Diceros bicornis minor: one gene and its partners. The protein of the gene in region 2 interacts with the protein of the main gene of each other region in a pairwise test. Links are inferred from orthologs where the notes say so. Each region holds a gene or a part of one and is shown on either strand. Other genes may lie near its edges. The genes, in order: MAFF, NFE2L2, MAFK and MAFG.

Region 1 (7,755 bases), on a different chromosome or scaffold from region 2:
CCTGGGTTCCCAGGCCTTTGTCTCCATGTATTGTGAAGCTCTTCCAGGACATGGACCCAGTGCTCATTCATTCATTCAATCAGTAAACATCCAAGAAGTACCTACTTTGTGCCAGGCTCAAGGCTGGGCCCCGATGACCCAAAGATGAATCACAGCCCCTGCCTTCAAGGGCTTCGCAGACGATCATCAATCCATCTGACAACCTGGCTCAGTGGTCACCTCTTCTGGGAAGCCTTCCTTGATTGCCCTGGCTAAGTCAGAGCCCTGTTCTATACTTGCAAACCACAGTGACCTCCCCCTCATACCACCCATCTCAGCTGTGGTTTTGCACTGAGTTTGGTGGTTCTTCCTTCAATTTTGTCTCCCCTCTGCAACTGTAAGCTCCCAGAGGGCAGGCTCTGGATCTGGTTTGTTCCCCATCTCATCCCTGGCATCTGGCCCATGATGGGCTCCATGGCAATGCAGGCTAAAAGCATCAGGACTGAGGGAGGCACAGGGGCCAAGGGAGCCCACATTGGGTCCCAGGCCACAGTGAAGGCCCAGGGGTGATTCAATGGGAGGTTAAAATTGTCAGTGCCAGCTTTCCATCTGTGCCTGAGTCAACCAGCCACTTCCCCTCGTCCCCTGACCCCTGGCCCAACTCAGGGATGTTTCCTGCCCAGCTTTGAGGCTGGGTCTGCCTGTGTCCCATGCTCCTGTGGCCACCTCCCTTACTCGAACCCCACATATTCCTGGACATCCCTGGCCTCAGCCTGGGGCTGTTGGCTCTGCTTTCTCTCCTACAGTTCCCTTGGAAAATAGGCTGTGTGTGGAGGCTGCCATACCTCCTCCATTTCACCCCCATCCTGCCCTCCCATGTCACCTAGTTCCTGCTGCACATGGGGACACTGAGGTTCCCAGCTGTGGCAGCAGGGCTCACCAGGGCTCAGAAGTTTACAGTTAAGAGATTTCCAGTTCCTCACCCCAGCAAGCTCAGCTCCCTCCCTCCTGGGTGGGAGGAGGGGGAGGGCAGAACAGGACACAGAATCCCTGGCCCCAGCCCACCCCTCAGGCTACTGGGCTAAATGGAAGCTTCCCGCAGAACTGAAGTGAAGGGGGGCTAGGTCAGGGCCCCACCCCTCACCCATTAACCCTTCATACACCAAGGCCACGTGCCCACTGCCTGTGGACCACGCCTGGCCCAGGGTGAGGACCCTGGGTCCTCTGGCTGGCCAGGCCCTCAACTAGCTCCTCAGGTCTGGCGATCGATAGGTCTGTCTGACTAGTCACACCCGTGAACTGAAACCACCAGGAGGGCAGAAACCAGCTCCACCCCATCCTCCTGGTCTCACCCTCCCAGACCCAACAGGTACAACCTCCAGAACCCAGGCCAGCCAGAGCAGCCACCAAGGAGAGGAAGCCTGGGATCGCTTCCTACCTCCCACCTTTGCTGTGGGTTTTCTGGCCCTTCCTGTTCCTCCTGAGACTGAGGGGATGGGCAACCCTGAGGATGAAGAAGAGTGCCCAGGGTCCGCCTCCCCCAGGCGGCCTTCAAACCTAGGGACAAGGACCTGGGCGCCAGCTCACTTTGTTGCCAGACCCACCAGGGTGCTGGGGTGAGGGGTGGCCCCCTCACCTCACCCCCCAGCCCAGCTGGGTCTTTGATGCTTCGCCCCACCCTGTGCTGCAGGCGCCGGCTCTGGGCGCAGGGACAAACACCACAGTCACATGGCCACGGCCCTGGGAAACTCCAGGGAGAGCGGGGGACTGGCCGCAGCTGGCTGGTGAGAAGGGGACAGCCCAGGCGAGAATTCCCGGACCCCGTGTGACCACCGACCGGGTTGCTTCCCTCACTTGGGTCCTTATTCCGCCTTTACTCGTGGGAACACGGCCTCCGAGGTACGCACCGCTAGTACGCAGACCCCAGGGGCTCCACTGGCCTGGGAGCGCGCGGGCAGACACACACACACACACACACACACACACACTCTCTGAGATGCCCAGAGCACGCACACACGGACAAACACACGGACACACACAGACACGCAGACACACACACACACCCTCCAGGGTCTTCACCAGCCTGGGAGCGTGTGGGTGGACACACAAACGGACACACACACTCCAGGGTCTTCACAGGCCTGGGAGTGCGCGGGTGGACACACACACACACTCTGAGATGCCCAAAGCACGCACACATAGACACACACACACACTCCAGGGTCTTCACCAGCCTGGGTGCGCGTGGGTGGACACACACAGACACGCGGACACACACACTCCAGGATCTTCACAGGCCTGAGAGCGCGCGGGTGGACACACACACACACACACACACACACTCTCTCTCTCTCTCTCTCTCTCTCTCTCTCTCTCTCTCGCTCGCTCTCTCGCTCTCTCTCCAAGAGACCCCGCACGCACGCACCGGGCAGGACACCCGGACGCCCGCCAGGGCACACACACGCCCGCCCGCCCTCCGACGTAAACAAACCGCGCACGCACGGCCCGCGGGCTCCGGGCCAGGGACTGTTCTCACCGAGTCACGTACGTGCACACCGCCCCCCGCCCTCCTGGGCGGACTGCCGCTCGCCCGCCTGCGCTGCCCCTTCTGCCCGGCTCCGCTGCCCCGCGGCCCGCGCCCGCATCACCCCCGCACCCCGCCACGCCTGCCTCGGCCCCGTCTCGGTCGCCGGACCTCTGCCCCCAACACCCCCCACCAGCCGTCCAGGCGATGGACACACGGGAGCACCGACGGAGCGGCCCCCGCGCCCCGCCCCAGGGCCTCCCGGGGCGCGCAGACCCTGAGCGTCGGGGCCCCGCGCCCGTCCCCGTCCCGGCCCCGCGACCCTCACCCGCCTCTCGGCCCGCCTCGCCTCGCGCCCCTGGCACGCGCGGGTCCCGCCGCCGTCCGGCTGCTGTCCCGGCCCGCGCTCCGGCCCGTCTCCCCTCCGGTCCCGACCGCAGGTCTCTCGGAGCCGGGCTCCCGGGAGCGCGGCAAGTTTTGTTGTGGGGCGGGCGGCGCGGGGGGCCGCGCCGAGTTGTAAGGCGAGCTTCCCGGAATTACTCACTCACAGGATTCCTTTCATTCATAAAAACCCAGTCATGCGGTGACGTCACCGTTCCGGCCGCCCACCGGCCCGGAGCGGCCTCCCGGATCCGCAGCCCCGCCCCCGGTAGGCCCCGCCCACAGACGGCGCCGCGGAGGTTCTCAGCCCCTTTTCGAGCGCCCGCTGGGTGCGTTCACGTGACACCTCGCGAGAGCCGCGTGGGTGGAGATGTCGTTTGGCTCATTTTACAGACGACAGTCCCGGGCCTCTTCTCCTTCGTCCTACACCCTCTGCCTTGATGATCTCATCCAGTCCCGTGGTTTTAAATGCCATCTATATGCCCATGAGCCCCAAATCTGTATTTCCAGAGCGAACAGCTTCTCTCACTTCCAGACTCCATCCGAGTATCCGCTCCGCGCCTCCCCGTAGGTGCGAGGGGGGGACTGCACACACTCCACGGCCAAAATCCAGCTCCTGATCGTTCACCCTAACTCAGCTCCCGTGCCCAGTCTCCTCTGTCTCAGTTGTTCAAGCCCAAATCTAGGAGCCTCGCGCCGTCGCTCCTTCTGCCTTCCTCCCCTCACCATGAGTCACGCTGGCTCTACCTCCAACACCATGCTGCACTGGACCACTTCCCCCGACCCCCAGTCCTACCGCCTGGTGCAGGCGCCATCAACTTACCCGGACAACGGCAGCAGCCCCCTGATCGCCTCCCCACTTTGCCTCTAAAGGCTTTCTTCACACACCAGGGTTCTCAAAGCAAACACCGGGTTGTTTCACACACTCCCACCCTCTCTCTGGCTTAGCACCCTCTCTGGCTTCCCTTCACATGTAGAATATAAACTATAATCTGCCCTTTGGCCTACAGGGCCCTAAGCCATCTGGCTTCTATCCAACCCTCCAGCCTCACCTCCTACCACTCTTCACCTGTCACCTACTCCTCTTCAGTGACGCTGACCCTCTTATGGTTCCACAAACACACCAAGCTCCTTCCTGCCGCAGGTCCTTTGCACTGGCTGTGTCCTCTTCTGTTCATTGCCTGGCTTTTTCTCATCTGTCAGGTCAGCTCAGATGTCACTGCCTCAGGGAGGCCTTTCCTGACCCCGTGGCTAAAGGAGCCCCCACCTCTGACATTTGTTTTTATATTACCTTAATATCTCCATAGGGTATTATCATGTTTATGTATTTGCTTACTATTTAGTGTCTGTCTTCCCCACCCAGAATGTAAGTTTCATGAGGGTAGACCCTTGTCTACCTCGGTCAGTACTGTATGTCCTGTGCCTAGAACAGTGCTCGGCATGTAGTAAGCCCTCCGTAAATACTCGTGGAGGAAATAAATGAGTAGAGGCTCACAGAGGTAAAGTGACTTTCCAAAGTCACCAGGCTAAGAAGTACAAGAACTGGAATTTGAATCCAGATCTGACTGATTCCTGGTCCAGATGTTTGGAGCTATGCTCAACTAGGTGGGGCCCAGCATAAATGTGAACAATGCGTTCGGTGCTTGGAGCCCCATCCAAAAGAGGTGACTTTGGGGGCACAATGGGGGCAGTTTATTCTCCCTTTCCTTTGCTCATGCTGTTCCACTGCCTGACATGCCTGCCTTCACTCCAAGAGCCATCTCTTGTGAGGCTGTCATCACAGCACCTTCCTGATTTTACTGCGTGGGGCATAGGACCTCCCCAACTAGGAGGTCTTTATGTGGCACCCTGGTCACAGGCAAGGCTCCCCTGCCCTTAATATAATGTAACATGATTTCAGAGTCCTCGTATGCTTTCCTGCCTCTGGGCCTTGGTGCCCCTGGGATTGTAACATCTGTCCCTTAGCTCCCAAAGGCCTTGGGTTTCATATGCAGATTGGCCCCCTAGCTTCCCAGTGACCAAGTGTTGAGGCAGCTCTGTCTACACTCAAACAATCCCCCCTAACATTGCCCGCTTGCCCTACATTTACATCTCTAAGGGAGTCACTCTTGTTACCTCTTGGGATACAAAAGTTCTTGATTTTAGAAACTGCATAATTGTGATTGTTGGACTTCTCTTCCCCCATCTTCTATGAGCTTCTCAAGAGCTGAGGCCATAATAGGTACTCAACTAGTGAATGAGTCCCCAGCAGACCTGCACGACACCCCTGGACGCCTTGCTGCCTCAGTCCTAGGCCTTTGCTCCCATCCCCAGGCTGACGCATTAGGGGGCAGCGCTTCAGCATCCACCCAGCAGGGCCTGCTCCCCACAGACGTGGCTCCCTTTCTGGTCAAGGTCAAGGGACATGGTGTGATGTCATATTTAAAAATGGGAGCTCTCTGACTTGAAGGGGGTTCCTACTGCCCAAATCTGGGACAATTTGAGCATGAAAGGAAGTAACAGTACTGATGGATTATAATCTATTGAATAAGAGAAGATTCCATGAGTCCATACTAATAGGAATGAATAAATAAACAAATAAGGAGAAGGGAAAGGTCCTCCTTATGGTAGAAGGAATGATACAGTTAGAAAATGACCATTAGGCAACCACCACAGTAATAATGGATTCCAATGAGAATCATCAACAGACACAAAAATTTGATGAGAAACATGATATTCACATAGTCTCTAAGTATTGCCCCATAGACAATTATTAATTACAAATGGAAAGACAGTAACTCTACAGTGGAGAAACCTGGCAGATACCACCTTCACTAAGTGATCAAAGTTAATATCACAAATTGGCATGTGTATCTCCTAAATGATACACTGAGAAGGACACAGCATCACTTCTGCAGTATTCCTGCCAAAAACTCATACAATGAATCTAATTGGGAGGAAACATCAGACAAACCTAAACTGAGAGAAATTCTGTAAAACAACTGGACTGCATGCTTGAAAAATGACAAGTTCATGAAAGTCAAAGAAAGACCGGGAACTGGTCCATAATAGAGCAGTCTAAGGAGACACGATGACTGAATACAATGTGTGATCCAGGATTTTCCTTTGTTGTAAGGTCATTATTAAGATAACTGGTAAAATCTGAATACAGTCTGTAGATTAAATAATATCATATTGATATTAATTTCCTGATTTTTATCATTGTTCTGTGGTCATGTAAGAGAATGTCCTTGATTTTAGGAAATGCACACTGGAGTATTTAGAGGTAAAGGGCATCGTGTCTACAATTTACTCTCAAATGGTTCAGAACAAGATGATAGATGGATGGATAGATAGATAGACAGACAGACAGATGGATAGATGGAGGAGTATAAAGAAAAAGTGATAAAATATTAACAATTGGGGAATCTGGGTAAAGAACATACAGAAATCCTCTATCATTCTTGCAATTTTTGTTCTAATAAAAAAACGTTTTTTTTTGTTTTTTCAAGTTAGCCTGTGGGCTGAAATCCTGGCCTTACCCCTCACCAGCTGAGTGACTTAACCTCTCCCTGCCTCCGTCTCCTCTTTCATACACCGGGCTTACTAATAGTGCCTACTTCATAGATTGTGACACAATTTAACGTGTTCACACTTATAAGCATTTGGCACAGTGCCTAGTATTGAATAAAAGATCGATAAATATTGGACTGGGGAGAGATGAGTCATCTCCATTCCTCTAGGACACTCCTGAGAAACCTGCCTCTTCCCTGGGTGAGTGACACAAAACCAGTGATGGCCCCACCCTGCCCAGAGACCCCACCTCCGGCCAACAGGGAGGGGCCTCATCGCCAGTTTCTAGGGAGGGAGCTGCCCTCTGCCAGCGCAGTCCAGCAGAACTCTAATTGGCCCAGCTGGTCCCTGTTCACCTGTCCAGGAGCCCAAAACAACAAACAGCACCCAAGCCTGTCCCCGAGGGACCCTGGCCCACGTCAGGTGCCTTGCCCATTAGTGGGTGCTCAGTAACAGCGACAGGCTTGACCTGAGCCAGGATCTGCAGCTCAGATCTCCCCCCTGGCTGACCAGTGTGGGGCTTTCCTCACTCCCAGCCTCAGTTTCCCCCCCTGCAGTGAGAGTGTAGGATTAGGTCAGTGGTTTTTAAACACTCTCAAACCACAGTAAACCTTCTTCGAATAAAAGTTGACTCTGTGGGCTGGCCCGGTGGCCTAATGGTTGAGTTTGCACACTCCACTTTGGCAGCCCCAGGTTTGCAGATTTGAATCTCGGATGTGGGCCTACGCACCACACATCAAGCCACGCTGTGGCAGCATCCGGTATACAAAATAGAGGAGGATTGGCATGGATGTTAGCTCAGGGCTGATCTTCCTCACCAAAAAAAAAAAAAAAAGAGAGAGATTAGCTGATTAGATTTTTGCTGAGGAAGACTGGCCCTGGGCTAACATCTGTGCCGATCTTCCTCCACTTTATATGGGACGCCGCCACAGCATGGCCTGACAGGCGGTGCATCGGTGAGCTCCCGGGATCGGAACCTGGGCCACCGGCAGCAGAGCTCCAGCACTTAACCGCTATGCCACGGAGCCGGCCCCAGGGCTAATCCTCTTCAGCAAAAAAAAAAAAGTTGACTGCTGTACATCCCACACTGTAGAACAGCTAGAAGCTGGCTGCGGCGGAGGAGACCAGGGCTGGCTTTACGATTTCCTGGAGGCCCTTCCTGCCCTGAGATTTGATTTCCAGGCTCCATGAGCTCCAGTCCCCAGACCCTGGGGCCTTCCCTGGCCCCCTCAGCCAGACAAGTCCCGAATTTTCCGTGGGTCCCTCTGCCGGGTGGAAGTGATGTCAAAGGCATCCCTTTCAGCACCTTTAGGAACCTT
Region 2 (7,298 bases):
GAGCTAATAGTATTTCCCACAGGGTTACTGTGAAATTACGCATGTGAAGCAATTATCGCAATGCCTGGCACGCAAGGAAGTGCCCAATAACTCATCTATCATTGTCATAGTGCCAAATTCTTCCTGCACCCAAGCGTTTACATGGAAAAGTTACCCCAGATCGAGGAAATATTATTTATGCAAAACCCCCTTTAAATGCGTTCAGCCAGTAGCGAGGAAATTCCCAGGAAAAAAAATGTGCTTATTGTCCACAGAGAATTCCTTTTCTCATGCAGCTCTGTAAGTATAATTCATCCTGAATAAAAATAAATATTAAGAAAAATAATGTATTTGGCTTTCAACTCTTCCCGGTAATCCTAAAGAAAGACACTTGCTTTTTCCAGCATTCTTTATAAAAACCCAAGTTAACAAGAAAGATTCCAAAATGGACCAAGTTATTTTTAATGCAGAAAGATTGATGTGAGTTGTGTATTTATCCTCCTGCATGCCACTTCCATGATCTCTCAAGAGATTCTTCACCTATCTAAAAAGTCAAGTTGTTCTTTGCTTAACATTCATTCAGGAGATGAGAGGCCTGTCCTATTTTTCTTTTAAAAATAATCTTATCAGTCTATTGCCAAGATCAACTTCATCCCTCCTATACGAAAGTACTCTTTTCTTGAAAAGAGTAATGGATGGTTGCTTCCACCTAATGGAAATACAGAATTGAAGACTCTCCTTCCTGCCCTGTTCGTTATAAACCTCCTCTGCACAGAAGACGAAAAACTGAATGATACTCCTATCTTACACCTGGAGTTTCCTGAAAAAAGGTCAGAATCCACTTCTGACTCTTTGTTCAAATCTTTCTGGACTACAAACAGTGATTTAATATGAATCATAGTTATACACATGAAATTGATTCTAAATTTTACTTCATTTTCTTTTTTCATAGTCTTCAAATATGCATATTGATGTCCGATTACAAAGGCGGAAAGGCAGTTACCTCATCAAACATAACTGGAAAATTCATATTTAAAAGAGAAAGCAGTACATGTGCTTTACGCATTTTTGTATATAGAATGTTAAATTACATAGTAAAGAAAGAAAAAAATAAAAAATAGAGGGCTCTAGGCTACAATTCCTGAATTTAGGAAAACTAAAGTCCATTAGCATCATATATCTTTTGGTCATACAGATTACTATGTAAATGGCTATATAGATTACTTTTGAACAGCAGCTAAATAGAAAACACAATTTACTTTTTCATAGTAGTGGGAAGGCGAGGAATACAATCCTAATCATTACTGGGGGAAAGTTCAAGACAAAAAGCTTTAAAGAAAAAAAACCACAATTAATACATTGTCAGTAACTTAAAACCTTACTTTAGATCTTCAGGATCAGTCTAAAACTTTACATTTAAGAGCACAAACATATTTATTGTATCTATTAAGTTATACATCTCCTTGAACCAAATATTTTTTCCTACGAATCCAAGTACAAAAAAAAAATTTGGAAATATAAATATCTACTCCTTTAAGAGTCTCTACAAAGTATGAACAGAAACTTGTTTTCACTTTTTATAACAATTTACAGAACCTGTTAGCAAAGAACTATGAAACACAAATGTCTCATCCTCTGCCCCTGCAAAAGAAGCAACATGCCAAGAAATCGAGGCAAATTGTCAAACAGAAAAGGAAAATTATATAAAGCACTCAAAGGAGAAATAATATATGAAAGCAAAAAATTACTAACAGCCTAAAAGCAATAGAAATGCTAATGTACACTAGCAACTCTTACCCTTGACAGCAGAGAAGAGAATATCCTGCTTTATACATTTTGGAATTGCAATTCTGAAACGCTAAATCCAAAGACAAAGCCGCCCTGGGGAAAATAGCAATTGCGCAACAGATCAACAGCTCCAACTTGTCCCTTGGCCCCGACGCGGCAAGGTTTGCACGCTATAAAGCAGGAAAGGGCCAACCGAGGGCCGCCGTGACAGCCAACTGGCCACTGTCACGGAGGCCGAGGCCACGCACGCGGCGTGCGCCACCCGGAGGCACCGCGCGGGGATCGAGACGCCCGGGGCGCGGCCGACTCTGACCTCCGAGTCCGCTGCCCCGCCTGCACTTCCCGGCGCGTTGCGAGCGGCCGACCCGGGGTCTACGAGCCCAAACTTTTCCCACCGCACGAGGGAGCGCGCGGGGCTCGGTGCCGCCGCCGCACGTCGGGGTATCGGAGCGAGCTGGGCACTTCAGGACCTCCTCCCTCCCCCACCCTGGGGGTTGGGCTTTCTCTCCCAAGTGCTTAAGAGCGATCGGATGGGGAGACTGATTGATTACTTTGCAAAGAAGCACTCCTGTACGGCCCGGCGGGGTGAAAGCGCCGCACCGCAGCCTGCGCTCCCGGAGCTCATGGGGCCAGGGGGCGACGGCAGAGGAGGGGCTCCGGGTCTCTGCCCGGAGGGGACCTCAGCTCCCCCGAGAGCGGCCCCGTGACTAGGCACATTTTTGCCGACTCCGAGGCGGGGGAGCCGCGCAGCCCCGGAAGGGCCGGGCTGCGCCGGCTCAGACCGCCAGCGTCCGCCCCCTCCTGCCCTGCCGCCCGTGGGACTGCTCGAACTCGGGGGGCTGGCCGGGGCTCCCGCGTCCCAGCTCCGGCGGCCGGGGACACCCCTTCACCCCACGCGCGTGGGCGCAGCCCCCAAAGCCCAACCCAGTCGCCCTCAGGGGCCGCGGGCACACTGTTGGTCGGACCACCCGACCGCGCCCCCCACTCCACTCGCAGCCCCTGGGGTCCCCACTCCCCCTCCCAGCCCGGCCCCGGCGCAAGCGCAGCGGCTCCAGTGCGCGGCCGCTGCAGTACAGGTTCCAGCCATAGACGGGAGGAGAAGCCGGCTGCAGCTGTCCCTCCCGGGCCGCGGCTCCCTCGGTCCCCTGTCCCCGTCCTGGCACTACCGCGGGGCCCGGAGGGCCGGGGCAGCACCTGCTGGGACGGCTGTCCCGGTGGCGGCACCTCCAAGGCCATCATGCTGAGCTGTGGACCGTGCTCTGGGGCTCCCCGACGGCGGCCCTGTCCCGGCTGCCGAGGCGCGGCGCGGACAGGGCGGCACGGGTGGCGGCGGCTCCTCGGGTCTCCCTCTCCGCGACACAACCGGAGTCGCCGGCCGGGCCCTTGCCCTGCTCCGCCTCCCGCCCCCCGAGGGCGGGGCACGAGCCCAGGCCCTTCCTTCCCCCGCTGGCCGCGCGGGCCGAGCTTCCGAAAATCCCCCACCCCCGCCCCGGCTGACGCAAGAAGCTGGCGGTCTGGGGGCGGGGAAGGGCCGCGGGCGCGGGTCCCTGTGGACAGGCGGGCGGGGTGCCGGGAGGAGGGCTGCATTAGCTCTCTGGTCTCCGCTCTGAATTTGCTCTGCCCCGCAAACAAAACCCACGCTCTCCGTCCGCGAGATTAAGAGTTGTTTGCAAGGTCGCTGGGGTTCCGGCGCTTTGAAACAGTTTAAACAGTTGGAACAAACACGCCTGGAGACCCGGCAGAGGCGCTGGTATCGGAGCTGCGCCTCCCTGATTTGGAGTTGCAGAACCTTGCCCCGCTTTATCTCACCCAACCGCCCGGGAGTGGCGCCAGCCCCGGGGGCGGGGGCCGAAGGCTGGGACCCAGGCCGTGCGCACCGCAAACTGGCCTCTCGCCATCGGTCCCCCCCCCGGGGCTGGAGCCAGTGGGACTTGCCCAGGGGAAATGTGGACCGCGCGGGGAGCTCGTGCTCGCAATCACCCTGAACGCCCTCCACTTACTCCTACGCGCTTGCACTCTTACTAGACTCAGGTTGCCAAGGGCAAACGGAGAAGTCTCTTTCGGTCGGAGAGTGGTCAGTATTGCTGGCCAGGAGCTCTCTCTTCCCACCAAGGCGCGCGCACCACACCAGAGATGGCGTCCTTTAACACTGCGATAATGCAACATGCCATAATCTTTGCAAGTTTCTTTTCACGTACGATATAACTTAAAAGATAAAAATGAAAATAAAAAAGATCAAGTTATATAATAGTTTGTATGATATGGACCCGTTTTGTAAAAACATGTGCCTAGAAAAAAAATTGAAAGTTGTTCGCCAAAATATTAATAGTTGTAGAATCATGAATAATTTTTATCTTTCTCTTTGTTACTTTAAGTATGTTTTAAATCTAAAATGACTATGTATTACATTAAAAACAGTTATTTAAAAATTAATTATTGCCCACAGAAAACTTCAAGTACTTGAAAACAGGAATATTGTGACATCTTTCAAGATTTAAAAGAGAATAGATAAATGGTTTTGTTTTGGTTTTTTCTTTTATACATTAACAATCTTCCTCACTCTTTAACAAGTCTGCTTTTCAGTTTCTAGCTTCTTGGAATTATGCAAAACCAGGTGAGTAGACAGTGCCCGCAGTGATTTTACTATTTCATTCAAAAACCTGATGCCAAGGGGAAAAAAAAAAGCCTGACTATAGCAGATCAACGCCCTAAAATCTGCAAAGAACATACTTTCTCTTGGTTGCATAATTTGACACTCCCCGGATTTATCTGTAAATTTATATGTTCAAATATTCCTTGAGGTAAGTGAAGCCTAAATTAATTGCTTGTAATTGAAGCAAGCTTCTTCAACTTGAATTAAACCCTTTCAGATGTTATGTGAAAAGCCGGCAAAATGATCTGCACACTGAAAACAAGTTTAGGGGAAGTTATTTACAATGAATCTGACATGAAACATGCAGAGACATAACGAAATGACATGTCTGCGTCAAAGAAGGGCACAAGAGTATATTCTTAACAATTCAAGTTACTTATTAATACTACTAAATCTGTGAAGGCAGACAATAAGCCCAGGAGGTAGGAGATACTAAAGTCATATATGACATGGTTGCTGCCCTCAAGGAGTTTATAAAGTGTTTGGTATTTCCTTGTTAAGCAACAATTTTCCATTGAGTTTAGATTGAATGAAATAACCTTTACTTTTACAAAACGGCAATTGCTGAAAGTATATTATTTCAGGCACCTGCAGAGTACATATTTTCAAAGGGAGGAGAACAATATGATGAGTCTGAACATGTTTAAGAAAAATAAACACTAAGGAAAAGCTGTTTGGTGTTAAATGGTGGTTCAGCACAAGAAAAGGGAACCCCAGTCTCAGACCACCCATGTCAAGGAGGTTCTCAGTCTTTGCAAACACTGAAATGAGATGGTCTTCATGTGAAAACCTAGGCCTTCCCCTCTAAACCTACATATTGTGCTATGGGGGCACAGATGCTGCACGTTCAGAAGCTCCAGGGGAACAGGAAAGAGGATGCTGATTTTTTTCTCCTGTCCTGGTGCCAGGGGAGTCCTTTTTACTGCTAGGGTCTCCTAGCTACTATTTTATTTTTTCCCCCACTTGGTTTCACATTCTACTAACCCTTGTACATTTCCATTGATGTCTGAATTTTTTGCTGTCTTTGGAAAGACAACCTTCCATATATGCTAGAAATGTGTCAGAATTGTAATACTTTGCTCTAGAATTCTTATAAAAAATGAGCATCATCAAGTAAGCCTTCTGAGTGTGCAAAGTTTGGATAGTGATGCAGTGACCCATTATTTCACCTTCTTCTTGGTGATCTAACGTGCCAAGTTTGAAAGGCCCAAGAAAGTACCACTGTTTCAAAATCCTTCATCACCTTGAGACTTCTTCCCTCTTCTTTTCACTTCCCCTTAATTGTACTCCCTGTTCAAGCCAGAAAATATCCAGACTCTCTTGAAATTAGAGTTGAAATTCTAAATTTGTCCAGCTTACAAGCAGCTAGTTTCCAAAGGTGGCAACCAATGAACCACCCTTCCTGATATTGATGTGCTTGTGTAGTCCCCCCACATTGAATCAAATGACTTGCTTTAACTTATGGAAGGAGGCTGGAAGTGACACTATACCAGGTCTCTGCCTAAGCCTTTAAAAGGCCTGAAAGCTTTTAATTTTATACTCTTAGAAGTCAGCCATCATGTAAGAAGTTTCACTCTTCATGGGAAGACAGCCATGGGGACAACCCTGGGGGATGAGACTCCAAGTGGAGAGATGCTATATGAGCCAAGAAGGCACCAGGCATGTGAGTGAAGAAACCAACTTGGACCTTCCAGCCTACCTAGTCAAGCCCCAGAGGACTCCAGCCCCAGCTGCTTTCTGACTGCAACCATAGATGAGAAACTCCAAGCAAGACCAGTAGAAGACTGCCTGGCTGAGCCCAATCAGTCGAAAGAATTGTGAGAGATTATAATGTTATTTTTAGCCACTAAGTTTTGGGGTGGTTTGTTTCACAGCAATAGATAACGAAAACAGCATATATTGAATACAGAAGGCAAGGTTTCTCCTGGCTGCCTTTTGTTTGTTAATCATCCTTAGGAGCACATATAGGGATGGTACTTTGCAGTTTAACAGATTCTCAAATCCTCAGAAGCAAATTGCCCTCCCTGTGAAGGAGGAAGGTATCTTTCCTATAATATATACTTGTTGCTACATACAAAGTAAATCACCTCATCACAGCATGCATCAGTATCATACTATTAAATAGATGATAGTGAGATATTCTCCTTATCAAAATACACTTAAGGAACACAGATATTTCATCAATTAAGTAGATGGAGGTATAAACACGTACAGAGATTCTGGCCCTGACGTGACCTCATTTATACCAGTTATGTAAGATACTTGCTGAATATCTGCTGAGGGAATTTGAACTTCAGGAGCAGCATGCCCAGTGGATAAACTGAACTCCAGTACAGCAGCATTCAAAATAATTGGGGTATTAATTTCAAAAAAACACCCATAACCTTGGTTCCTTGGTGTGCACACTTCACTATGCAAACTACTGATACAAAGAGCTGTATATCTCCAAAGCCAGTTTTAACTCATAGAGTTTCCTGGTCATAATAGAAACAGTACTCTGCAGGAACTGCAGCGCAGTAAGTAAAGAGAAAAGCTCAGAAGTTTAAGAGTGCTTTTGAATTATATGTGTTGATACCTATATAAATATACCTGCACAGGAAAAAAAGACTGAACATATACACTCCAAAATGTTAACCATAATCATTCTGATTAGATTACTGATAATTTTATTTTTCTCATTTTTGCCTGTCTGTATTTTCCTAAATAAATATGTATTACTTTTATAATGATAAGCAAAAAAAGTGGTGGTGGCGTGTAGTGGTAAGGAAGGAACACTTGCTTTTCTCCCAAGCCACTGGGTCCATTTCATTTTCAATTTGAATTTTAACCACAAGTTTTGAAAATCTTTCCATTCTGCATTTACTAGAGTGGAGCCTGG
Region 3 (7,011 bases), on a different chromosome or scaffold from region 2:
CCTGCAGATGCTCTGGCCCTGCAGCACCGCCCTGCTCAGGCCCCTGGCTTCTCATCAGGACTCCCATCTCAGTCCCTCACATGCAACCCCCCAGGCAGGCAGAGGGACCCACCGGCTCAGAGTCCCTCCCAATCTCCCCATTCCCTTGGTCGCCTGTCGCCACTCCAGGCCTCTACCTCTGGCTTCTTACAGCCACCCCCCCAATCTGTGCTGGGCTCCCACTCTTCTGTCATCCCCTGCCCAACCCTCGCTTCATCAGAAAGCCCCCCTCCTGCCCTCCCTGTGGCGGGCGGGCACCCTCTCCTGAGAACATATCAAGGGCTGAGCCCAAGACCTGGTCCTGGTCTTTCTGTCTGAGGCCTGCCTCCCTCACTGGATGGAGAGGAGGGGATGCTCTCACCTACACCCGCTCCTCTCAATTCCTGGCAGGTGAAAGGGGCCGCATAAGCAGATGTGTCAGCACTGCACTGAAGGGAGGGGGGCCGGGGGATGGCTTCTACCCCAACACCTTCTGCCTCCGCCTTGCCCAGGACACCCAGACAGCAGGCAGGGCACGGCACTGGCCCCTGGACATGGGGCTCTGCCGTGGCAGGCCAGGCAAGGAACCCTTGGGGCTTGGTTTCCTCATTTAAAATGGGGTCTGCGTGTGTGTGGACCATGTGGCAACTCAGGTTCACTTCTACCTGCTCTAAAATTCTACGATTTTAAGATGACACTTTCAATTTCCTGAAACTGTAAGAAAGAGGAAACATGACAAGCCTGTGACTTATAAAAAGCAAAAGTAAATAGCGGAGCAATGCATCTCCCATTGCAGAGACCGGCGGGCGGGGGGGGGGGGGCCGAGAGGAGGGTGAGTCACTGTTTACTGCTCTGAGGAGCAGCTACACAGAGAACGCTCCCAGCCATTTCCCGTGTGGACTGGACCCTGAATCCAGAAAGTCCACGCCAGAAACCTTTAGACTCAGGCAGTACTTCTTCTAGGTCGCCTGTGATTATAAACAAACTCGCCGGAGTGAAAGCAAGCACGGTGGACAAAGAACAGTCCGGAACACGACCTCGCTCAGCGGCAGCCTGGGTGCCAGAGAAAGGACTGGAACGCAGCAAGCCCCACACTCAGGAAGAGCGACTCCCCCAGTAGCCTCAACTCAACTCCCATTTTTAGCAACCACCTTGAAAGTAAGCGACGCTGAACTTGGACCCAGTCCCTTAAAGTCCAGCTCGGTTCAAGCACAAAAAGCAAATGCGCTCCAGGGAGAAGCCTTGCTTTGTGTTTTTGAGTTAATAAACATTTTATTTTGGAATAAGGAGAGATCCAGTTTTAAGTTTTGAAAGCAGACCCCCCCCCCCTCAAACTTCAACATTCCTCCTGGGTCGCGGAGGGAGGGAAGTGCTCAGGAAGCCTGTCAGCTACCCACAATGCAACAGGTTGCAGGTGCGCCCCACCCACCTGCACAGCCCACCAACTTCCCAGACCCCTCCCACCTGCTTAGACTAACATTTTTTTAAAAAGCACCATCCCCCCCTACAGACATCAGGCTTGGAGACTGGGCTCCAGAGGTGCCACACAGGACACACAGCTACACTTTCTCAAGATACCTGCTCAGTGATCGCTGTGACAGCAAAACCTCACCAATAAAGGGGTCAAGGGAGGGCAGGTGGGCACCCAAGGCACACTCGTGGGCACCCAGTGATTCTGTGTTAGGCATGGGTGTACATCTCGGGAGCTTCCCAAGGTCAGACACCTGGCAAGAGGAGGTGGCTGAGTGTTGGTCAACTGCTGAAGGAATTGTTGGGTGGGACATCCCACTTCTGCCTGAGCTACAAGAGCTGTGTGAAAAGTCAACAAGAGCGTAATCATTAACACAAGACAGAGAGCGCTGGACTTCAGCAAACTCCAACACGGACTGCTCCAGCATGTGTTCTGCGTTGGTGAGAAGACCCCACAACTACTGTGGGAGACAGAGGGCAAAGCGGTCTGCTTTTCCTAGGACAAACCTGGGTCCAGATCCAAATACTCCCGTCCCCTCCGAGGCTCCGGGGAAGGTGCGTGGAAGAGGCAGCCCGAGACATTATCTGTTTCCTGAACTCAGCAGAATCACAGAAGAACCCGCATTTAAAATTAGAAGACATGGAGATGCCCCATTCATAGATGAGAAAAACGAGACGCGGGCCACGGGGGAAGCGACACGTTTGCCCTGCACCTCATCCCACCCAAAGCCTCCACATCAGGGCTCCCTCCGGGAACCCCCGGGCAGATCAGCTGCTCAGAATGTGACCTCGGGCAGGGAGTCCCCTGCTGCTTCCCCTGCCCACCTCCGAGCGGTGTGGCCCATGTCGCGCGCAGTCACGGGTGGAAAGTGGCCGCAGGGCCGGGCAGGACCGCACGCCGGGCCAGCGGAAGCGTCCAGGTGACCGAGGCCGAGTTGGCCTAGCGCGACCACGCGCTCCCCGCGCTCTCCTGCACGTGGCATTTATTTTCGCCCCCGCCTTCCCGCTTCGAGCGGATCCCCGGGGTAAAGGCTGAGCAGGTGGGGGGGGGGGCGGGCGCCGGGCTCCCCACCTGCCTTGCCCTGGAGAGTCCACCGCCTCCAGGCTCGGGCCCTGAGCGGGGGTCGGGAGTCAGGGGCGCTCCCGTTCCCAGAAGAAGGCGACCCGTCTAAGGGCGGGACAAGACCCCCAGCCCGCAGCCGCTCGAGGCAGACACCTGACGGCAAGTGTCCCGCAGTCTCGGGGTCCAACCCAACTCCGCGCGGGTCCGAGGAGCCATGACTCAGCGGCCGGCGGGCCGCGCACCCCAGGCCCCCACCGCGCCCCCGGCCCCACCCCGCCGGCCGCTTCTCACCTGACGTCGCACGGGGGCGCGGGCGCGCGGCGGCTCCTCGCGGGCACGCGCTCTCCTCGCGCTCACTCGCGCTCCCCCTGGGCCGCCGCCTCCGCCGCGCGCTCGGGTTCGGACTTCGCGAAGAACAACAAGTCCCCCCGCCGTCCGCCGCCAGCCCGCCCGCCGGCTCCCAGCATCTGACACCGCTTCCGGGATCGGCGTCGGCGCACGTCACGCCGCCCCGCCCACCGCGTGCCGCCACCGCCCCGCCCACGCGGGGCCCCACCACCCCCGTGAGCTTTCGCCCCGCCCACCAGAGGCCCCGCCCACCGCTCACCGCCCCTCCCTCACAGGCCCGGCCCCCGCCGGCGCAGGCGCACCGAGCGCCTCCCGTCTGCCCCTCCGGCGGCGGGGAAGCAGTCCCCGTGCCCACCTGGGCAGGGCTGTAAGGTTGTACCTGTGCTCCCAGGTGTAGCCCGCCCGCGTGGTGGCAGCCTCGGCGCACACTGAGACTCGCAAGTGGCGGCAGTCATCCTCGTTCATCGCACCGATCCAGGAGCACCCCCATTTCCCCCTGGAGCGCGCCCTCTCGGGGCTCGGGGCGGGGCGCGCTCTTGTCTGCACCCCAAATTCCCAGGCAGGCCCTTGCGTATCCCCTCAGCCTCACCGGAGCCTTCGGGAGACCCCGCCGTCCCCAGCGGTGGTCGCAGCCGAAGCCCGCGTTGGGGAAGGGCTCCCGGGGAGGGGTCTTCGCGGGGAGGGGTCTTCGCAGTGGGGAGCGGCCTCCGCAGGGTGAGTGGGGCTGGAGGTTGCTTTCTGGGGACAGTGCTCCGGACATTATATCCAAGTCTCAGAGTGGCGTGGTTTAATCACAAGAGGAGACCACCTGGCTGCACGCGTCCAAGACACACCACCGTCTGCGGGGCAGGCCAGCCCCACACACGAGGAAAGGGCACCTGGCGTCCCCTCCTGACGGACACCCCCATCTGTCTTTTGAGTTCCCATTTTTGATCAAGAAAGAGTAAAGAGAATGATTTCTGTAGGACAGCAAACAGTGTAAGATGGTGATAAATGGCATTGACCCACAGCCTCAGCGCCCCAGGACCCTGAGGAACAGTGCCCAACGGAAACCCCAGCTGATGGTCGCCCTGTGGAAACAGGCCCAGCAAACGGGGCCCAGAACGGGGATACGACGCCCTGGTCTCAGTTCAGGGCCCGGCGCCTCGGCAGGGGAGCAGCCTCCTCCTGCGCAGGTGGAGGACGAAGCTGGAGAGGTGACCCGTCCAAAGTCACACCGCCGGGCCTGCAGCTGGGCCCAGCACCTCACTCCCCTTCTGCCAGCACTTGGACGGGAGGCTGAGCCCCTTGACCGTGTCTGCATCCCTCTCTGGGAAATAATGAGCTGCCTCAATGGGGCTGCACGTCTCAGTTCTGAATAAGGAGCGAGGGAAATCCGCCAAGGCTCTGGGAGTGACGGCAGGCCTCCCACGGGCGCACACTGCATCTGCTGAGGGGTGTTTGCGGGTCTCAGGCGCCTTTGGGTGTATCCTGGGAAACAAACAGGAAAAAGTGCCAAGAAGCTTGTGGGTCTTCCTTTGGCAGTTAGCAGCACAGCATGGCTCTGTGTTTAGCAAGCGGCTGTGGCTTCTCTCTGCGGAGAACGTGGGCTTCCTTCCAAGCGACCTGCCTCTGTCGGGCGCACTTGCCTTGTGGGACAACCAGGCGTGCTGGTGTTTGCTGATGGCCTCGACAGGAACAGCCGCCAATACACAGATCAGCAGCGGCAGTTGCAAGCTGTCCCATCTCTCCAGGATGTTTTCAGAGTGATTTCCCCCCGGGATTTCAAAGGTGTTTCCCCTTTTTCCTAGCCAACACTCTCTGGCCTTGGGTGCAGAGCTGCAGCCGCCCACTTTGTGGCCCCTCTCTGCAGGACTCCGCCACCGTGGTCGGGGATAATTGAGTTTCCCGTGAGTGTCCTCATTTCCCAAACTTGATTGCAGTCTTTTCACGTTAATATTGGGTTACAGAGAGCACTGTCTAATTACTCTCCTTAACTTCTTGAAAGAAGGGCATTGAGAGGTTGGAATTAGGCAGAAGTGAGAGACGCGGGTCACACTTATGGTGTGACCTTGTGGGGGGTTCTCTTCATTTCACCCCTCTAGTCTTAGTTTCCTCAACTTTAAAATGGGCTTAATAAAATAGAATGAAGATGGGCTTTTTAATAAATGGTGCTGGGACAACGTGATAACCGTTTAGAAAAAAATAAAGTTGGGTCCACAGTCTGTCCACACTGTACACCAGCATTATATGTTTCAAATGGATCAAAGATTTAACATTTTGTGAAAGAAACCATTAGATGATGAGAAAGTTCTGGAGATGGATGGCAGTGACGGCTGCACAGCAATGTGAATTTACTTAATGCCACTGAGCTGTACACTTAAATTGGTTAAAATGGTAAGTTCCATGTCTTGTATGTTTCACCACAATAAAAAAAAATAAATTTAAAAAAACATTAAAATATTTGCAGAAAATATGGGTGACTTCCTTTAAAACTTTGGAATGGGAAAAGGTTTTTCTAATCATGATTAAAAATCCAGAAAAAGACTTAAGGCAAAAATCACCATAAGCAGTTGCAACCCACGTCACGAAGGACCATCTCCCTAATTTACAAAGGGCTCCTAGAAATATGGAAGGAAAAGACGAAAAAGGAGTGAAAGATATGAATAGATCATTCCCAAAAAAAGAAATCTAAGTGACAGAGGAAAAGATGCTCATAATAAGAGAAAAGCACGTTAAAATGACATTGCGATTCCATTTCTCATCTCTCAGAATCCAAAAATCAGACCACATCCTCTGATGGGGATGTGGGAACGGGCCCTCTCATGCTGCTGGTGGGGATGCAGGAGGGGCGTGGAGCAGCCTCTTCCACACTTACCTTGGACCCTACTTGTTCTCAGAGTATACGAGGCTCGTCACTGTGGCATCAGCTGTAAGAGCAAAAGGTGGAAAACCACCAAGTTGTCATCGTTAAGGGACAGGCTAACCAAACTGGGGGACATCACACGATGGAGTACCACGCAGCTGTAAAGACAGGGATGCAGAAGATCCCCGTACTTGGACATGAAGACTTCCGGGGTATGTTGTAAATGTGTGAGCAAAGAGCAGCACTGGTTGTGTGATGTGCTGCCTTTAGGGAGGAGGGGAGGGAGAGGAAAACATGGATTCGTGCTTGTCTGAATCTACAAAAGGAAGACTGGGGGGAAAACAAGAAGCTAATAGAAAGGGCTGCCTTGGAAGTCAGGCGTGGATGGGGCACAGACAGAAACGAAACCTCTTCACGTTGTTTCCTTTCCACTGTTGGACCGTGTAAGTGTATTACCTATTCAAAACTATAAAATTAAGTTGAAATGAAATGAAAGAGAGGGAACCATGCAGGACTCTCGTGAGAGTTCAGTTTCTAAACAGCCGTGAGGACCTGTGCGCCTTGCCTGGTCCCTGGTCGGCCTTGATAGGTGGTCCCTTTTATTGCAGCTTGACGACAGAGGCAGCATGGGTTATGCCAGATAAACTGCCCTCTTTGCCCTGGGAAGAGTCCCTCGACCATCAGGGCCCCAGGACTGGGTGGACCAGGCCCCATCGCCCAGCTGTGTGGAGCTCTTCCTGGGGAAGAGCCTGGGGCACTGCTGGCAGGGGCAGGGTCCACGCTGCCCTGCCCTCCTTCCAGAGAGTTGGAGGTAGGGAGTGCCATGGGGCGAACTCAGGTGGCCCTGGCCAAAGTCCAGGGACAGGGAGGGACACTAAAGGCCCCACGATCCATTACTCTGTGGGGAAGAGGAGAGGCAGGGCAAAGGCTATCTCCAGCCCTGAGGGGGCAGCTGGTCTCCCTGAAGTGGTCCCCAGCAGTTACTACCCCCCAGAGTTCCCATAAACACCCCCAGGCGCCCTAACCCCAGAAAGGTGAGGGGTTGGAACCTTGGATAGGCCAGACTTGGGGACATCCTGCTGCACGTTGCCCCATGGGTGGACAACTACAGCTCTCTAGGAACTGAACCGGGCCAGTATTTAACCCCACGCTCTGTAAGGGGACAGCCATTGCAGGCGGGTGTTTGCTGACTGTGGAAGGAATGACTTGTGCTTCTCTGCATGGCCAGCAGTGCTCTGAGACGCCTTCCCTTGTCCGGCGCTGTCCA
Region 4 (7,633 bases), on a different chromosome or scaffold from region 2:
CCACCATTTGACATTCAAGACAAGGGCTCCTCAGATGGTTGAACTTCTGAGGTGACTGGCACACTCAGTCCACTGTCTCCCATTCCTAACCCAACCCACAGATGCTGTCACTTTTCTCCCTGACCTTTTACGTTAAATAAACTGGTTTCCAGCCCCAGTGCCCTGACTTCTAATGTTGTCACCACATGTGGAGGGAGGCCATCCCCTGGCCAGAGAACTGTTGTCCAGTGTAACAGCCAGGCTGCCGGGGGTGGGGGGGGGGCTGAGCATCCCAGTGAGCAGAGGGGGAAGGAGCTTCCGGGGAAGGGTGCAGCCCTTTGGCCTCAGTCACTAGAGGCAGGATGGAAGCTGGTACCATAAGCTGGGCTTGGCGTGCCCTGCTGTGGGAGGGGCACCAGCCTCTGCATCCTCCAAGCCTCCTGGCTTGGTGGGGGAAATGTCTCCTCATCTCACCCAGGCGGGGCCAGGGTCACATGAGGAAGGAGCCCCCTTGGGGGTGTATTAGAGTTCTCCAGAGAAACAGAGCCAATAAGAAATGGTTTATATATATAAAATAAGATAAATATAGAGAAAAAGAGATTTATTATAAAGAATAAAGAATTGGCTCATGCAGTTGAGGTTAGCAAGTCCATGTACAGGCTGGACCTACAGAGAGCTGATGTTCCAGTTCAGAGGCCATCAGGCAGGGAGAGGCAGTTATAGGTGATGCCGGAAGGCAGTCTGCTAGACAATTCTCTCTTACTCTGGGAGGGGCTGTCTTTGTTCTATTGGGGCCTTCAACTGACTGGATGAGGCCCACCCACATTATGGGGAGCAGTCTGCTTTATTGATTAAAATAATCTTGTGCAAAAACACTCTCACAGAAGTAGCCAGAATATTTGACCAAACATCTGGGCACCCTATGGCCCAGTCAAGTTGACATATAGAATTAACCATCACTGGAGGCCCATAAGATCAGAGGAGCTACTGAGGGTCAGAACCCTTTCTGGGGCCAGGAGTGCTCACATTGGTTCAATCAACAAACAGTTACCAAGCATGCAGACAGTAAGATGAGGCTCCTTGTTTCCAGAGGTTGGGACACACACACACACACACACACACACACACACACGCTCAAGTATGTTAGGGGAGCTGGGCTGGGTGTCTGTGGGCTGTGTGGGGGGAGCCCCAGGCGAAGCAGTGGTTCCCCCCAAGGAGCAGAGGAGGGGATCAGGAGAGCTGGGCAGAAGTTTTCGAGGAACCACATTGCAGGGTCTCATCTCCAGTTCTCCTTCCTCTGGGCCCACTTAGAACCAAGGCCTGGGGCACGTGGGGTGGGTGGAAGGGGCACTTTGGGGACAAAGGTACAGCCTCCAAATCTAAGGGGAAAAAGGAGACAGGAAAAACGGAAGAAAATGCACAAGAGATAAATGAAGGGCAAGACTGCGTTCCTCGTCCCTGTCAGGGTAGCCTGGAGAGTCCTGGTCACTCCCCCCAAAAAAAAAGAAGATGGGGGGGTGTGCTGCTCCTGCCACACGCACCAGGTCTGAGGGTCAGAGAGAGGCGACCAGGTGACTCTAAAGTGGGGGAGAGGCATGTCACAGCCTTGGAAGAAGAACAGGAGTCCAGACAGGCTTTGCAGCGGGGCTTGGTGCCGGCCCGTGAAGAAGACGCCGGATTTCAGCAGGCAGGACCCATGAGCATTCTCGCTGTGGTTCCGATTAAGCCACAGGCCAGAGCTGGGGCAGCAACAGAGTCAGATGGGGCCTGAGGGAGGGCTGTGACTCAGGCAGGCCAAAGGCTGCCGAAAGGGTTGAGGCGGCCTACGAGGCCCAGAGCGTTCTGCAGGGAGAGACACCACAGAAGCCACTGAAAGTGTGAGCACAGACCTGAGCAGAGCAGGAAGGTGTTTTACATGGATCCAGAGCAGGCCAAGAGGGAGATGGGCTCTGGGGGCCGGGGCCCCCCAATGCCAGCTGAGAAGCATTACAATGTGCCTTCTCAGAAAGCCGCAGAAAAATGTGGCTCCAGAAAAGCCACTGCAGGAGCCTCACTGGGCTAGGGTCAGCTTGGCAGTGCCTTCCTGGCCCATCACTACCAGCTCTGACACCTCCCATGGCCTGGACCCCCTAAGTGGGGTAGAGGCTGGAGTGAATCTTACTGTGCTTGGCCCAATGGGCTGGGTAAACCTGGTGGAAGAGCCAGCTCCCTCTGCTTGATCCAGCTCCTGCCTCAGTTTCCTAATTGGAAACTTGCCTTAGGCTCTTGCCTGCCTGGCTGAGGCTCTTACCCTGCCCACCTCTGCCAGTCCTTTCCTGTGCCAGGCTGACACCTATCCCATGGCCCCTGTGCAAGCTGAGCTCAAGCTCCAGAACAAATGGGTCAGCAGCTCCTGGCTGTGTCTGTTCCCAGGAGAGAGAAGGAGCGGGGAGGGAAATTCCTTGCTCCCGAGAGTAGGAGGTCCCTCAGGGAGAAGGAGCAGAGCAGCAGATGATTCATAAATTGGCCTCTCAGTTACCTCTCATGTGTAAATGGCAGCCAGACTCCATCCTGTGAGGATTGAGGAGTCAGGGGTACAGGAAAGTGAGTGAGGATTAGCCAGTGAGTGTCCACCTGTGGTAGCCCCCAGCCCCAGGGCCAAATCACTTGGTTATCAGTGTTTCCTGATGGCACCATGGTTCCAGCTTGACCTAGGTGGCCCCATGTCAACAGATGGGGCCTGCTGTACTCCCGCAGCCCAGCGATAGCTCGAAGTCCACACAGCTACTGAGCAAGACCAGGAGAACGGAGCCGGCACCTGGTGGTGAAGAAGCTAGAGGAGACAGAGCCAATAGGACTGCATCCTTGGCCTCAGTGGCAAATCTTTGCTCTTGTGTACATTACGAGTTGAGGGCTGGGCCAGCCCGTGGTGTAATGGTTAAGTTCGGTGCACTCTGCTTTGGTGGCCCAGGTTCACAGGTTCAGATCCCAGCTGTGGACCCGGGCGGGCTTGTCAGCCATGCTGAGGCGGTGACCCACATACAAAATAGAGGAAGATGGGCACAGATATCAGCTCAGGGCTAATATTCCTCAAGCAAAAAAAAAGAGGAAGATTGGCAACAGATGTTAGCTCAGGGCCAATCTTCCTCACCCAAAAAAAAAGAGTTGAGGGGCCGGCCCGGTGGCTTAGAGGTTAAGTGCGCATGCTCTGCTATTGGTGGCCCGGGTTCAGATCCCGGGCGTGCACCAATGCACCACTTGTCTGGCCATGCTGAGGCCGCATCCCACATACAGCAACTAGAAGGATGTGCACCTATGACATACAACTATCTACTGGGGCTTTGGGGAGAAAAAGGGAAAAAAAAAAAAGGAGGAGGATTGGCAATAGATGTTAGCTCAGGGCCGGTCTTCCTCAGCAAAAAGAGGAGGATTGGCATGGATGTTAGCTCAGGGCTGATCTTCCTCATAAAAAAAAAAAAAAAAGAGTTGAGGGCTTTAGAAGTCATGTCACAGGTACATGAAGGCCCTAAGTATGTGACACTCGGGCTATACCCAGTGTAGGGGGATGTGCCCTGCCCTAAAGAGCATGGGATGATACGAGAACCACAAGCAACCCTACAAAGTAGAGAGTGACAAGGAGCTGTGTGTTCAGAGAAGTTCCTGGAGTCTGGCAGGTGATGCTTGTGATGGCTTTATGCTCCCTGGCTTCAGAGGCTTCCTTGGTTGGCCTTCCTCATTCATTCAGTGGCACTGCATTCTCACAAGGACCCCACAGCGGGTGCCTCCTCTGTCAGCTCACCTGGGTTCCATTGATCTGCCTGGCAGGGTGGGTCACCCTTCCTGGCTTTACACCTGAGCAGCAGTCCAGAATTGGAAGTGGAAGTTGGAGCCCTCCGATTTCCCTTCTACCCCTTCATGGTCTTTCTCTGGGAATTTTGAACAGCAGTGAGAACTCCTTACAGAAAGGGCAGGAGCAGACATGGATACGTGAACTGAGTTCCAGACAGATGTTGATGAAAAAGGAAAGGCAAGGTACAGTTCCTACATCAACTATTAATTTAACAGATGTTTACAGGCGCACCTGCTCTGAGCCAGACACGGTCCAGACACAGTCCTTCTCACTTATGTGAGTTCTCCGGGTGTCGGGTGAAAACGGACCACACTAATCACACTACTGGGAGGATCCTGGAGGTGGCCTGAACGGACCTAAGTTTGAATCTTGGACAAGCCTGTCACCTCTCCGCGCCTGTTGCTTGTCTGTGAACCAGGCCACTGTTCCTGGCATGGCTGAGGAGAGCTCTCCAATTACGCGAGGTAATAATACATGTAGAGCCTGCCGTGCGGCATCAGAAACACCAGGTAATGCCCGGGGACCGCGGGTCCGCACCCGCCCCCTGGACGTGGCCAGTGAAAGTGTGTGCACACCAGGGTAAGGAAGGCGCCTGGGCAGGACCCGCGGCTCCCGCTGTGGAAGCGGGGTGGGGGGGTGGGGGGCAGTGTAGCAGGTTAAGGGTGGGCGTGGCCGGCGGGGGAGCGCGCGTCCGCGCCAGTCCCGCGAGACCCCGCTCGGGCAGGGCGGGGCGCGCGCGTTGTCGGGGCGACGGCGCTGGGCGCGCAGGCGCAGTACAGGAGCGCTCCGCCGCCGCCGCTGCGGCCGCTTCAGCCGCCGCTGCCGCCGCTGCCGCCGCACCTTCCCCTTTAAGCCCCGGACGGTCGCGTCGCCGCTTCATGAATGGAGCCCACGTGACCAAACATCATGTGACGTCTGTGGAGCGGCGGCGGCGGCGGCGGCGGCGGCGGCGGCGGATCCCAAGCCTGGTCCGGCCCGGCCTTCCCAGCGCGCTCGGCCCGGCCCACGCAGGCGGCGAGCACGCCCCCCCCCCCCGCCCCCTGGGCCCGGAGCCCCCGCGCGGCCTCGGAGAGCCCCCCGCCCCGCCCCGGCCTCGGCCCGCCCGGGCCTGCAGTGTGGTGGGTGAGACGGCGGCGGGCCCAGGCCGGGCCGGCGGGGTCGGGCGGGGGGCGTGCGGGGCGGGCGGGGGCTCCGGGCCCGGGGGCACGGCGGGGCCGCGGCTCCTCCTGGTGGACCGGGGCGGCGCGGGCTGGGCGCTCCTGGCTTCGGGTCTGCCCGCACCCTCCTGGCGGCCCGTGCCTCGACTTCCCCACCGGGGAAGCAGCTCTTGGCTCCTGCTCCTTGGGTGCTGGGGGTGGGCCGCAGGAGCCGGCGGAGCTCGGGGCGGGGCGTGTGCGGGACTGGCTCGGTAGAACCTACCGCGCCCTGGAGGGAGGGGCGGCCGGGGTGGCGGGAGGAAAGGGTGGGGTCGAGCGGGACGCTCGGGGCTCCGCGGAAGAGCACGGCGGCCCCGGCTGGAGCTGCTGATTCATCAGGTGTCCGTGTCATCGCCTCCCGGGCGAGGGGTCCTTGGCGGGCCGGGGGAGAGAGGTGGCACGTGGCAGGGCTGAGAAGACCCTGCTCCGTCGGTTTCGCCCCCTCACCCGCGTGCCAGAACCCAGAGGGAGACTTGCTGAGTCATCAGCATGAGGTCACTCGATGCTCATGTTGATGCCTGGGGGGATTTGAGCTAGGGGCTTCAGGGCCTGAAAGGTCGGGAAACGAGGAGTAGGAGGGAAACCGTGGGGATGTGGGGAATAAGCCCGGCCCAGGGGCTGGGGCGCCTGTTTAAGTTTGGGCTGATGAGCGAGTTGAGGGTAGGGCCGTGAGGAGGAAGTGGAGGGGCCACCTTGCAGCTTATCTCCTGGTCTGGAAGGTGAAGTGTCTGGCCTGTCTGGCCTCTCCCAGGCATGCTACTCTCTGGCAGCTGGTCCTGCACCCGCATCTGGGACAGTTCTCCAAACTGGGAAATAGTTCTCTGAGTTACAGGAGGGGAGGAGCTTAGGGGGGCCGTGCTTGCTGGGCTGGGAAGCAGGCTTTCCCTGTGACGAGTCTGGTTGGCCAAGCTGGGCAGCCCTTGGGCAGGGAGAATAGGGATACACCCTGGCCAGAGAGAGAGGCAGTGGGAGAAAGAGAAGTGCCTGTACTTGAGCCCTGAGTGACGGTGGACAGGGCAGGGGGCAAGCAGGGGCAGCTCCACCAGGAAATTGCAAATGAGAGGAAGCAGCAGGACTTAGACGCCTGGGGAGCAAAGTGGTGAGCAGGCCCAGCCCTCCTTCGCAGCCAGGCCTTAGGCTCTGGGTTGAGGCTGCAGGCAGTGGTAGCTTCAAGGGTGCCTAGCCTTCAGAGCACGGTAGGTGGGCTGGTGTGGATGGCATAGAGTGGAAGAATGCAGTTCTCAGTCACCCCAAAGTTGTCCCACCTGAAGTTGGGGCTCAGCGTTGAGGAGGTTAATGAAAAACATGGCCCTGATGGGTGTTGAGGACTCTTGGGGAGTGACAACCCAAGGGTAATGTGGCCAGAGCCACCTTTCCTGGGTGTATGGGTGGTTCCTGGCCTCCAGGGATGAGAGTGTTTTGTCTAGACCAGAACTGACCCGTCTTGCCCAGGGGTCATGGTTAGCTTAGGTTGGCCTTGGGGTGTGTCCCCAGGGATGCCCCCCCCATACACATTCACACTTAGCCCTAAATCTTCTTATTTACTTATGCTTTAGTGGAAATGAAGTTGTAGACTTTTTCAGAGTGGCTTTCAGTGGCTGAGGGCTTCTGGAGGAGGTGGGAGTGAGGCCGGGTTAGGTTGAGTACCAGAGTGCCCAAGGCCACATCTGCCTAGGAGGTTTGGCCACGGGGTTTGCAGGCCAGGAGAAGGAGCAGGGGTGGCTGGCTTGCCTCCTGCCTAGTGCCACGGGGTTTGCAGGCCAGGAGAAGGAGCAGGGGTCGCTGGCTTGCCTCCTGCCTAGTGCCCATGCCCTGGAGTTGGGTCCAGGGGAAGGGGATGGAGCTGCCCAAACCTCTTTCCCCTTCCTGGCTGGCTCTGAGCCTGAGTGGGAGGCCCAGGGTACCTTGGTGGATTGGGGCCCTTGGGACCCTCCGTTCCTTCTCCATGAGGTGGGCTCAGCCTCTGGGGAAGCAGAGCAGGGAGGAGGGCTGGTGGGTGTGGGGGCAGTTTCTCCTTGATCCGGCCTCGGATCCCCTCCATCTGGCTTCTAAAGATGCCCTGAGCCATCACTCCTAGCCCATCCCCAGAGGCTATCTCTGTCCCATCAGTGTGTGTCCCCAGGTGGGCAGCAGAGGCCAGGAAGCTGGCTTTGCTGAGACCTGCCCCTCCCCCACCACCCACCTTTGATTAGGAGGCGATTGGCTGTGCTTGTGCTGAGTTCAGGCCTTCTATGGAGGGTGAAATCTGTCGAGGAGGCACTTTTCCGCTCCCAGCCGCCACACTTGGCACTTTTCTTGTGATCTCTTCAGGAAGTCACCATTGTGCTCAGCATTCAGGGGTGGAAGAAGGATGGCAGGTGGGAAAAGCTGGTGTCAGGGCTTTTCCTTTGGGCTGACAGTGGTAGGACACAGGGCAGTGTCCCTGCACCCCGACTTGGGGTCAAGGCTGGGGGAGCCCCTGCAGCTCCGCTGCGAGGGCCTGACTCCCAGGGTGGGTGTGGGTCCGTGAGGACCTTCTGATCTCCAGCTCTGGTCTGCCCCATCTTCTGCTCTGGAAGAATCATGCGGCTGGAGCCTCAGGGCCTGCCTGAGAGCCCCGGGTGGCCTGTCTGTGGGGAGGTGCCTCTGG

What was found.
Region 1: the proteins of NFE2L2 (region 2) and MAFF interact in binary tests that used the Homo sapiens proteins (3 or more experiments, as listed by UniProt). The link is inferred for Diceros bicornis minor from reciprocal best matches to the Homo sapiens genes NFE2L2 and MAFF.
Region 3: the proteins of NFE2L2 (region 2) and MAFK interact in binary tests that used the Homo sapiens proteins (3 or more experiments, as listed by UniProt). The link is inferred for Diceros bicornis minor from reciprocal best matches to the Homo sapiens genes NFE2L2 and MAFK.
Region 4: the proteins of NFE2L2 (region 2) and MAFG interact in binary tests that used the Homo sapiens proteins (3 or more experiments, as listed by UniProt). The link is inferred for Diceros bicornis minor from reciprocal best matches to the Homo sapiens genes NFE2L2 and MAFG.

Annotation. Positions count from the first base shown.
Region 1 is NC_080764.1:11,638,859-11,646,613, forward strand, and holds the start of MAFF (transcription factor MafF), read right to left. Parts: upstream 3,016-7,755; 5' UTR 2,832-3,015; intron 1-2,831. UniProt on the Homo sapiens protein: Since they lack a putative transactivation domain, the small Mafs behave as transcriptional repressors when they dimerize among themselves.
Region 2 is NC_080749.1:57,827,189-57,834,486, forward strand, and holds the start of NFE2L2 (nuclear factor erythroid 2-related factor 2), read right to left. Parts: upstream 3,011-7,298; 5' UTR 3,007-3,010; coding exon of another isoform or gene 2,962-3,006; intron 1,994-2,961; exon of another isoform or gene 1,777-1,993; intron 1-1,776.
Region 3 is NC_080765.1:13,004,483-13,011,493, forward strand, and holds the start of MAFK (transcription factor MafK), read right to left. Parts: upstream 3,013-7,011; 5' UTR 2,843-3,012; intron 1-2,842. UniProt on the Homo sapiens protein: Since they lack a putative transactivation domain, the small Mafs behave as transcriptional repressors when they dimerize among themselves.
Region 4 is NC_080757.1:61,254,661-61,262,293, reverse strand, and holds the start of MAFG (transcription factor MafG), read left to right. Parts: upstream 1-4,633; 5' UTR 4,634-4,686; coding exon 4,687-4,926; intron 4,927-5,642; exon of another isoform or gene 5,643-6,236; coding exon of another isoform or gene 6,237-6,296; intron 6,297-6,753; exon of another isoform or gene 6,754-7,235; coding exon of another isoform or gene 7,236-7,361; intron 7,362-7,633. UniProt on the Homo sapiens protein: Since they lack a putative transactivation domain, the small Mafs behave as transcriptional repressors when they dimerize among themselves.